Linked DNA regions of Sus scrofa. The protein of the gene in region 1 interacts with the protein of each later gene in a pairwise test. Links are inferred from orthologs where the notes say so. Each region holds a gene or a part of one and is shown on either strand. Other genes may lie near its edges. The genes, in order: ZMYND19, KCTD13 and TOX4.

Region 1 (3,534 bases):
AACAATGCGCCTGCGAACACAGTTGTGTGAACAGCTCTTCCGAGTCCCTGCTTTTGCTTCTCTCAGTGTGTGCCCCGAAGTGGAACTGCTGAGCCGTGTGATGGCTGTGTGTTTAGTGTTTGGAGGAGCCCCCGTGCTGCTTTCCCAGGCATCTGCACTGTTTCACTTCCCTCCGGCGGTGCAGAGGCTCCAGTGTCTCCACATCCTCGCCAACACTTGCTTTCTGTTCAGTTGCTAGTAGCCATCTCCTGAGTGTCGGGTGGTCTCATTGGGGAGTTTTTTTTACTGTGTTTTGGTTATGCGGTGGCACGTGGAAGTTTCGAGGCCAGGGATCAAACCCACGCCACAGCAGTGACCTGAGCCACAGCAGTGATGATGGCAGATCCTCAGTCCCTGTGCCACCGGGGAACGCCCCATAGTTTTGACCTGCATTTGACTGATGATCAGTGATGCTGAGCATTTTTTTCTTTTTTGGCCGCTGCGCAGCACATGGAGCTCCTAGGCCAGGATCAGGTCTGAGCTGCAACTCTGGCAACCCACTGTGCCGGGCCAGGGATTGAACCTGTGTCCTAGTGCTGCAGAGATGCTCCAATCCTGGTGCACTATGTGGGAATTCCTACCCATTTTTACTTATTTATTTATTTATTTGCCACACCTGCAGCATGCAGAAGTTTCGGGGCCAGGGATAGAACCTGTGCTACAGCAGTGACAACACCGGATCCACGGTGCCACCAGGAAACTTTTAGGTTTTAATTGAGTTGTAGAGTTCTTTATATATTCTAGACTTGAGTCTCTCATCAGCTAGATGATGTGCAGATGATTCCCCCCTCCCATTGTGTAGGTCGCCTTTTCAGCCTATTGGTTGCCTTTTTTTTTTTTTTTTTTTTTTTTAAAGGGCTGCACCTGCGACATGAAAGTTCCCTACACCACAGCCACAGCAATGCCAGATCCAAGCCGTGTCTGCAGCCTGCACCACAGCTCACAGCAACGCTGGATCCTTAACCCACAGAGTGAGGCCAGGGACCAAACCTGCATCCTCGTGGATCCTAGTTGGGTTCGTTAACCACTGAGCCATGAAGGGAACTCCTTTGATTGCCTTTCGATACACAGAACTTTTGGATTTTTCACGGACTCCTTGTGTCTACTTTTTCTTTCCTTGCTGTGCCTTTGGTGTCATATCCAAGATCATTGCCAAAGCCGACGTCATGAAGCTTTGTCTGATGTTTCTGAGTGTTTTATAGTTGGAGTCTTTGTTAGGTCCTCAGTCTATTCTGAGTTCATTTTTGTATGCGATGTTCGAAGAGGGCGACCCTTCCTTTTTAACCAGGTCCCTCCAGGCTTGGCCACCAGGGAGGGTGGGCAGGGGATGGTTCACCCGGTCCTTGGCCATCACGGTGCGGGTGCTGCTTCCTTGGAAGGCCAGCTGCTCCCTCCCTGGGGTTTGCCCCCCTCTCCTGTACCTGTTGCGAGGCCTGTGCAGGCACCTCAGTTTGAGCATCAGGCAGAGTTTTTCGGTTGTGACCTTCGAGCTCCTCCAGCAAGATGCACGGTTAGATGTAGAGCCGCACGCGGCACCGAAGCAGAGGCGGCTTAGCCAGGTGCAGAGGCCAGTGCTCTTGCGGCCACCAGCAGGGAGAGAGGCTGCCTGGCCTTGCTCAGGGGGCGCAGGCTTGGCTGGGCCTGGGGCTGAGACCACATGATCTACATACCTGTTGTGTGCCTGGCTGTCCGAGGGGTGGGGGTGATTGACCAGCGAGGCAGACACAGCCCTGCCCTGTACCTTTTTGCGGTTGAGGTTACAGAGAAGTAAGTCCCGGCGTCGGGGTGGGCCAGAGGAAGGTCGGGCTGCCAATCAGAATGTGGGGGAGGCATCCTGAGATGAGCAAGCCTCTTGTCCATCCCTGGAGTCAGTCCTTGTCACCTCCGTGCCTCAGCTCTTTCTGGCCAAAGAGTACTGACGCGTCTGCCTCTCTCTTTAAGGGAGCAAAGCTTATACTGGCTCGCGATTCAGCAGCTTCCCACGGACCCCATAGAGGAGCAGTTCCCTGTCCTGAACGTGACCCGGTACTACAATGCCAACGGGGACGTGGTGGAAGAGGAGGAGACGTCCTGTACCTACTACGAGTGCCATTACCCTCCCTGCACGATGATTGAGAAGCAGGTGCGCTGCAGCTGGCTCCGGCCGCCCCAGCCCTGCCCGGGGTCTGGTCCCTACAGACCCCAGGCCTCTCCTAGAGCTGCCCTTTTGCAGCTTCCCGGCTGTGGTGGCTGTCCCTTTGTCGCCGCCTGACCGGGGCCCAGGCCCTTCCACCCAGTGCAGGGGTTGCCGGGTCCTCGCGTAGTCTGTGCCCCACAGCCGACTCCCCAGCGTGACCTGTGTGTCCTTTCAGCTCCGGGAGTTCAACATCTGTGGGCGCTGCCAGGTGGCGCGCTACTGTGGCTCCCAGTGCCAGCAGAAGGACTGGCCCGCGCACAAGAAGCACTGTCGGGAGAAGAAGCGCCCCTTCCAGCACGAGCTTGAGCCGGAGCGATGACCGATGACCGGGCAGCAGAGCCGCCTCAGGCCCGAGATGCCGCGGTGTCTGGATCTCCGCGGGGAGGTGTGGACCAGGCTGATGGCTGGACCAGAGCTACTGGAGGAGCCGCCCAGCCCCGCCCCCGCGCCACTGGCCCCGCCCCCGCCCCGCCCCCGCGCTCGCCTGGAGCTGGAGCAGAGACCGCTGGGAGGCTCCGCAGGGACAGTTCTCATTATTTATATGTTAATATGTTTGTAAACTCATGTACAGTTTTTCTGGGGGGAGGCCGTGGCAGGGTTAGAAATTACAAATAGTGTCATTTGCTGTAACACTCAAATTCTCCGGGTAGCCGGGTCGAGGAGGGCGGCCTGCCTGGGACCTGGCACAAGGCAAAGTAAAGGGTGGGACACCCGGGACCCTGACTGTGCCCTTCTCTGCTCGCCTCCTCCCCGGTCGTCCGTGGACGTGGGTGTGGCTGGAGCCTGTGCTGTGGCCAGGCCTGGGGGTGGCTGCCGAGGTCGGCACTCTTCTCAGCCACCACTGGTGCCCTCTCGCTTTGACTCAAGAAGCGCGGGCGTCGGGGCTCAAGGTGGGGCCTCTGCCAACAGCTTTGCTGTTTCCTGGCCTGGGCCGTGGCCCCCAGGCCAGGCCTCCCTCTCCTTCCTGGAAGCCACAGAACACTGAGCACTGGGCAGCATCTTGTACACCTTGCATGGCCATCTGGGGGCCAAGAGCCAGGCTGTATGGACTGGAACTTACAGGTTTGCAGGGAGAGTGAAGGCTGGGCATGCCAGCTGTGGTCATCCATCGAGGGCCATGCCAGGCACCACGTGGGTCCCGCAGGCCCCTGCCACACTTCCCCTTTTGCAGCTCTTCTGCCATCTTCAGAATCCCCTGTGTGTTCTTGCTTCCCTGGCTGAGGCCAGCCCCCTTGGTAGCCTGTGGTCCATGAGCTGAGCTTTTGGTAGTTTCTGCAGAGCTTGGAGTCCTCCTGGGGAACAGGCTGGCGAAACAGGAG
Region 2 (3,649 bases), on another chromosome or scaffold:
CAGCTAGGAACCATGAGGTTGCAGGTTCGATCCCTGGCCTTGCTCAGTGGGTTAAGGATCCGGCGTTGCCGTGAGCTGTGGTGTAAGTTGTAGATGGGGCTCGGATCCCGTGTTGCTGTGGCTCTGGCGGAGGCTGGCAGCTACAGCTCCAATTCGACCCCTAGCCTGGGAACCTCCATATGCCCTGGGAGTGGCCCAAGAAATGACGAAAGAAAGAAAAGAAATCTAAAGAAACTATGGAGCTGCAAATATGGACTGTCTTTCATGGAGAAGGAAAGATGGCTCAGGTCTAGAGAATGATTCCTGGACAGGATTAGACATCAGCGAGCTCCCAACCTTTGTCCAACTGGATTATCGAATTTCTATGAAGGAACTTTGACTTCTCTGCTTCCTGCTGCCCCCCTTGACCTTTTGAACGAGAGTGGTTATCCCAATGCCTGGTCCACCAGTGCATACTGAGAGTGTGGATGAGATAACAAGTCTCTTGAGTTCACAGGTCTTCAGATCCAGAGGAAATGTACTTAAGGAGCTGTAGTTAAGAGCTACTCCCAAGGAGCAGCATCCCTACCTAGACCTGATTTAGATGACGAGATTCTGTACTTAGTGCTGTAATGGGATGGGACTTTGGAGGATCTTGGGAGAAGGTGAGTGTGTTTTGCATATGCAAACAGTATGAATCAATGGGAGCCAGAAAGTGGACTAGGGCACCAGCCTCCAAGGGAGTCCCCAGTTATCCCTGTTTCCTTGTGGTGTTCCCTCCCACACTGAATAGGGCTAGCAAAACTAGATCATAAAAGACAATAAGAGTCCTCTTGTGGCTCAGAGGGTTAAGGATCCGGCATCGTCAGTGCTGTGGCTCCAGGAGCTGGATTCACTCCCTGGCTCAGGAACTTCCACATGCCACAGGGGTGGCCAAAAAAAGAAACAACAACAAAAACCAGTAAGGTCTCCATCTTGCTCTGTCTTGGATTATTTGCTCTGGAGAAGCCAGCTGCCATATTGTGAGGACACTCAAACAACCCTATGGAAAGGCCTCAGTGACAGGGATCAAATATTTCCTGCTGACAGCCAGCGTGCATTTACCAGTCATATGAATAAGCTTTCTCAGAAACAAATTCTCCAGACCCAGACGTGCCTTCAGATTACTGCAGCCTCAGCCGACTTGACACTAAGCTCATGAGAGACCCCATGCCAAAAGCACTCAGCTAAGCCACTCCTGAACTCCTAACCCACAGAAACAGAAAATAAGTATTTGTCATTGCTTTAAGCTGTTCAGTTTTGGGACAGTTTGTTACACAACAGTAACTAAGACACACTTGCCCCACTGATGTGTGATGTTCTCTCTATAAATACCAGTTCTCTTGTGTACACTAGTATGTTTCCAAGTTCTCTAGTGTGTTTTTTGTTGTTTTTGTTTGTTTGTTTGTTCCTGCACCAGAACTGCAGTGTTGTCATGATTATGGCTTTGTAAGATCTCTTCATATCTGGTAGAGTCAGTCTCTCTTGTTTGACTATTTTTAAAAATAGACGTGAGGAGTTCCTCTTGTGGCTTGGTGGGTTAAGAACCTGACATAGTGTCCATGAGGATGCAGGTTCAATCCCTGGCCTGGATCAGTGGGTTAAAGATCTGGCATCGCTGCAAGCTGTGGCGTAAGTCGCAGATGCAGCTAGGATCTAGTGTTGCTGTGGCTGAGGCATAGGCCTCAGCTGCAGCTCCAATTGTTGACCCCTAGCCTGGGAACCTCCATATGCCGCAGGTGGGGCTGTAAAAAGAAAAAAAAAATTAACCTAAGTAATGGTAGATTTATTCTTCCATATTAATTTTAGAAAGTCTTAGGAGTTTCCAAAAAAAAAAAAATCTTTTGGAGTTTATATTAGGATTGCACATCTAGAGAGCAATGGCAATTGTGGCTCAGCAAAAACAAATCTGGCTAGCATCCGTGAGGACACAGGTTCAATCCCTGGCCTCGCTCAGTGGGTTAAGGATCCAGCGTTGCCGTGAGCTGTGGTGTAGGTTGCAGACACGGCTTGGATCCTGTGTTACTGTGGCTGTGGTGTAGGCCAGCGGCTGCAGCTCCAATCTGACCCCTAGCCTGGGAACCTCCATATATATGCTTTGGGTGTAGCCATTAAAAAAAAAAAGACGAAAAAGAATTGCATATCTCATATCTCGGTTAGGCGAGGCAAGAGGGGTTTTGGCGTGAAGATTCTAAAAGAAGAGGAAAGAAACCTAGGTATCTAGTTCTGATTCTCCCTCCAACCTCCCAGGCAGCCTGGTTCACTCGTTCAACCGATAACTTATTGCGCATCCACTGTATACTAGCTACTTATTCCCTGGGAAGAGATCATAGCAAATACGCCAAGAAAAAACAAGGAAACATGAGGAACTACATGCCATGAAGGCGAACTGATCATGTGAAAAGGAAGCAGTAGAGGAGGCTGCTTAGCCAGGGAGCTTAGGGAGGAGGACCAGCACCCTCCTAGGGATCCTGTTTGAGTTGGGATCTAAATGGCATGAGAGGGGCCAGCCATGCAAACAACTGAGTGCAGACCGTGCCAGGCAGTGGGAGCAGCAAAGGGCCCAGTGGACACAAGCTGGATGTGTGAAGGGACAGGTGAGGCCGAAGCCCAGCAGGCAAGGGAGCCTGGTAGAGAGGAGACCAGCGTTGGCATCCCGCAGAGCCCTGTGGACCACTAAGGAGTCTGGACTTTTTCCCGAAGGCAACAAGCAGCTTTGGAAGTAGGGGAGTGAGTGCCCCTTGGTCGTGCTGTTAATCACCTTCCGCTTCTTCTCCAGCAAAAAAGGGAGAACGTGTCCCCGCTGTGCCTCATCCCCACGGTGACATCTCCCCGGGAGGAGCAGCAGCTCCTGGCCAGCACCTCCAAGGTGAGGCCCCTGAGCCCTGTCAGGGTGGAGGCTGGGGGCCTGTCCCTGCAGCCTGACCCCCCACCCTTCTCCATCCTCTCTCCCCCGACAGCCCGTGGTGAAGCTCCTGCACAACCGCAGTAACAACAAGTACTCCTACACCAGGTGACCGTGGGGGCGGGGAGGTGCAGTGGGTGGAATCCTGGGCTCAGCCCTGCTCCCGACCCAGGGGGAGGGTTACAACCACACAGAGGGACGAAAAGGTTCCTGCCCGGATGCAAACTCCAGCTCTGCCGCTTACCCACCGGGTACTTGGGACAGGTCATTTTGGTTTGCGTTTGCCGAGTTCCTTTTACTTCTTTTAATCCTTCTGAGCTTCGGCTTTATCTTCAGTTAACTGGGGTCCAGGTAAGGATTAGATGACAATAACTCACATTTCCTAGTGCTTAGTTTATACCAGGCATGAGTTGAAGTATAGCTCTCCCTATATTTATTCACAAAACCCTCACGGTTGTCAGGAGATTTCATGATCTCCATTTTACAGGTGAGCCAATTGAGGCACCAAGAAGTGAAGTAACTGGCTTCGCGTCACTCCATTAAAAAGTGGTGGAGCTAGGATGCCAGGTGAGGCAGCGTGGCTCCAGAGCCTGCCTCAGTAGCCACTCTGCCGTGCTGGCCTTTGCTCAGCAAATGCTGCTGCTTCCTTTGTGAAGCCTGCTTAGCCGGGCCCCAAGGCCAGAGGAAGCTGCTGGGCCCCGAACTCGCAGGCAGGACTCGAGTGCT
Region 3 (3,649 bases), on another chromosome or scaffold:
CCTAGGATTCAAATGTGAGAGTGAGTGGCCTTGGTGATAGTGGTGAGCATAGCTGCCTTGCAAATGTAAGTGTGATAGCTGCCATGTTAAGGGATGGATTCAAATATGTTTGGGAGGTCCCTTGTGGCGCAGAGGGTTAAGGATCCAGCATTGTCACTGCAGTGGCTCGGGTTGCTGCTGTGGCACAGATTTGATCCCTGGGCTGGGACTTTCCACATGCCACAGGCTCCCAAAACAAAAACTGTCTTCTAGCACATTCCATCAGTGGTACATCACACACTCTGCTCGATGTCAAACATCTCTAACATTGGCCTTATTTACTCTGATTGCTTGTGTATTGCAACTTTTTAACAGCCACTGTTTTAGGAAGGTACAGGGGGGGAATTTTTCTTTACCCTGAGTATCATCACTATCCCCAAATTACTGAGTAATTTACTTGCTCTTTAAATTAACATTTCCAAAATTAAGACTGCTTTGGTTACTTTTGGTTATTTTGATACAGCCCTTTGTGTACAAAGAAGTGACTTTAGTAATTTCTGTATTTTATTAAAAAGCTTAGTATGTCTTATATGTATATAAATTATTTGATGTTTAAACGGTGATACATCTTGGGTAAGCAGAGAGTTTATGAACTGTCCTGAATTTGGGTGGGGGGGGGAGAGTGGTGTCTTTTATATTTAGTGTTTATAATTAGTCCTTCTGCTTCTCTCAGGACTTGGATCATTCTATAGGAACTCAGTATAGCGCCAACCCACCTGTTACAATTGATGTACCAATGACAGACATGACATCTGGCTTGATGGGGCATAGCCAGTTGACCACCATTGATCAGTCAGAACTGAGTTCTCAACTTGGTTTGAGCTTAGGGGGTGGCACCATCCTGCCACCTGCCCAGTCACCTGAGGATCGTCTTTCAACCACCCCTTCACCTACTAGTTCACTTCATGAGGATGGTGTTGAGGAATTCCGGAGGGTGAGGCATTCCCTGCCAAAATCAAATCTGCCATGTTATTCTGGGAAACTCTTGCCCCACAGATTCTACTGAGTATTCTTTACTCCTGTCCTGCCATCTCCTTTGATCTTTTCTGGGTTTAGGGTCCCACCTCTCAACTTATAATTTACATTTCTCCTTCCAATCCCCATTCTTACTGGTCCTCACATACTTTACTAATATCTTAATCTTACTCCTTCTATTTTTAGCATTTCTGAAAATTCTATTCATGTGACTAATTTACCCCATTTAAAAGTCCATTTCTTAAGTTCTGCAGACACAATACTTCCCTTCTTCTTGTAATTTTCTTTTTCCCCTACAGCAACTTCCCAGCCAGAAGACAGTTGTGGTGGAAGCAGGGAAAAAGCAGAAGGCTCCAAAGAAGAGAAAAAAGAAAGATCCTAATGAACCTCAAAAACCAGTTTCAGCATATGCTTTGTTCTTTCGTGACACACAAGCTGCCATCAAGGGACAGAATCCCAATGCCACTTTTGGGGAGGTTTCAAAAATTGTGGCCTCCATGTGGGACAGTCTTGGAGAGGAGCAAAAGCAGGTGAGCAAATAATGAAGAACTAGGGGATAGTGAATACTCTAAGAAGCAAGGGGATAAAAACTAAGTTTTTAGAGTTCCCATTGTGGCACAGTGGAATCGAATCCGACTAGGAACCATGAGATTTCGGGTTCAATCCCTGGCCTCACTCAGTGGGTTAAGGATCCGGTGTTGCTGTGAGCTGTGGTGTAGGTCACAGACGAGGCTCGGATCCTGCATTGCTGTGGCTGTGGCGTAGGCTGGCAGCTACAGCTTCAATTTGACCTTTATCCTGGGAATCTCCATATGCCTCGGGTGTGGCCCAAAAAAGCAAAAGTTTTAACTTTTTTACAAATTCTTATTTGATATAAACTCTTTGTTAATGGCATTCAAGATCATTCTTTGTCTTAAAAGTTGTAGCCATACATGGAATCCAGAATACCCATCTAAAAATTATTAATTAGTAAAATAATTTAGTATGATAATTAGTTATTATAAAAACACTAAATCCAACTTTTTTTTTTCTGCAGTCCATTTTATTTTATTTTTTTTTTCCCACTGTATTTTTTTTTTTTGTTTTAAATCCAACTTTTCTAAGCCCTTTCTTTTCCATCTGTAAAATTAGGCTATGCTTCGGTAGGTTGCATGCTATAGTTAACTATAAAATCCATAACCAGGAGTTCCCTGGTAGCACAGTGGGTTAAGGACCCAGCCTTGTCACTAATGTGGTGAGGGTTCCATCCCATCCTAGGAAATTCCACATGCTGCAGGGGCAGCCAAAAAAAATAAAATCTACAACTGGAGTTCCCACTGTGGCTTAATGGGGGCTGTGGCATCTCTGCAGCACCAGGTTGCAGGTTTGATCCCCAGCTGGACACAGTTGGTTAAGGACCTGGTGTTATAGTCGCAGTGTTTATCACAGCTGTAGCTCAGATCTTATGGGCCTGGGAATTCCATAAACTACAAGCAGTCAAGAAAAAAAGGTATTAAAAAATAAAATCTACAACCAAGTTTGGATTTACATTTTTTTGATTGGCATCATATAAACTTGAAAAATATCATTTGGAGTTCCTGTCGTGGCGCAGTGGTTAACGAATCCAACTAGGAACCATGAGGTTGCAGGTTCGATCCCTGCCCTTGCTCAGTGGGTTAACGATCCGGCGTTACCGTGAGCTGTGGTGTAGGTTGCAGACGCAGCTCGGATCCCGAGTTGCTGTGGCTCTGGCATAGGCCAGTGGCTATAGCTCCGATTGGACCCCTAGTTTGGGAACCTCCATATACCGTGGGAGCGGCCCAAGAAATAGCAAAAAAAAAAAAAAAAAAAAAAAAAAAAAAAAATCATTAATTTCCCTAAATGTAATCTGGATTAAACGAATGAAAATTATGATACTATGTAAGATATAATTGAAATTGAATGGTTTTAATTATCATTACCCTAAAACTCCCCAGGTCTTATGTCACAGTGAGTTGTTAATCATTAAAACAAAAAACTGGAAGTTCCCACTGTGGCTCACTGGGATCTGCATCTCTGCAGCCCCAGGATGCAGGTTTGATCCCTGGCCTGGCACAGTGGGTTAAAGGATCTGGCATATCTGCAGCTGCGGCATAGGTCATAAGGGCAGCTCAGATCTGATCCCTGGCCTGCAAACTCCATGTGGGGCAAGGCACCAAAAAAAGAAAAAAAAAACAAAACAAAAAAAACCTGAATTTATTCTACAATAAATTTATTCTACAAAATTTATATCAGTTACCTACTTCTCAAGTAAATTTAATGGCTTAAGACAGTAGCAATTTATTATTTCTTACGATTCTACAAATTGGTTGGGTGGTTTTCTTGGTGTTTTTGCCTCATATCTACAGTTGTACTCAAATGGTAGCTAATATTTGATAGCTGGTCAAGATGACCTAGCTCCCACATCTGGCAGTTGGTGCTACCTATTGTCAAAAATGCCTTGGTTCTCTGTCATCCTCCAGTAGGCTAGACTGACTTCTTTACACTATGGCAGACTTAAAATAATGTTCCAAGAGAATAAAAACTGATGCCCCCAACATCTTTGTGTCAGTTCAACCACACCCTAATGGTTAAAGCAACTCACAGCTAGCCCAAATTCAAAGGAAGGGGACATAGG

What was found.
Region 2: the proteins of ZMYND19 (region 1) and KCTD13 interact in binary tests that used the Homo sapiens proteins (3 or more experiments, as listed by UniProt). The two-hybrid records come from large-scale screens. The link is inferred for Sus scrofa from reciprocal best matches to the Homo sapiens genes ZMYND19 and KCTD13.
Region 3: the proteins of ZMYND19 (region 1) and TOX4 interact in binary tests that used the Homo sapiens proteins (3 or more experiments, as listed by UniProt). The two-hybrid records come from large-scale screens. The link is inferred for Sus scrofa from reciprocal best matches to the Homo sapiens genes ZMYND19 and TOX4.

The regions. Positions count from the first base shown.
Region 1 is NW_018084833.1:414,915-418,448, forward strand, and holds the end of ZMYND19 (zinc finger MYND domain-containing protein 19), read left to right. Parts: intron 1-1,980; coding exon 1,981-2,161; intron 2,162-2,390; coding exon 2,391-2,534; 3' UTR 2,535-2,932; downstream 2,933-3,534. UniProt on the Homo sapiens protein: May be involved as a regulatory molecule in GPR24/MCH-R1 signaling.
Region 2 is NC_010445.4:18,128,029-18,131,677, reverse strand, and holds part of KCTD13 (BTB/POZ domain-containing adapter for CUL3-mediated RhoA degradation protein 1), read left to right. Parts: intron 1-2,797; coding exon 2,798-2,887; intron 2,888-2,978; coding exon 2,979-3,031; intron 3,032-3,649. UniProt on the Homo sapiens protein: Substrate-specific adapter of a BCR (BTB-CUL3-RBX1) E3 ubiquitin-protein ligase complex required for synaptic transmission.
Region 3 is NC_010449.5:77,685,389-77,689,037, reverse strand, and holds part of TOX4 (TOX high mobility group box family member 4), read left to right. Parts: intron 1-712; coding exon 713-973; intron 974-1,313; coding exon 1,314-1,544; intron 1,545-3,649. UniProt on the Homo sapiens protein: Transcription factor that modulates cell fate reprogramming from the somatic state to the pluripotent and neuronal fate. In liver, controls the expression of hormone-regulated gluconeogenic genes such as G6PC1 and PCK1.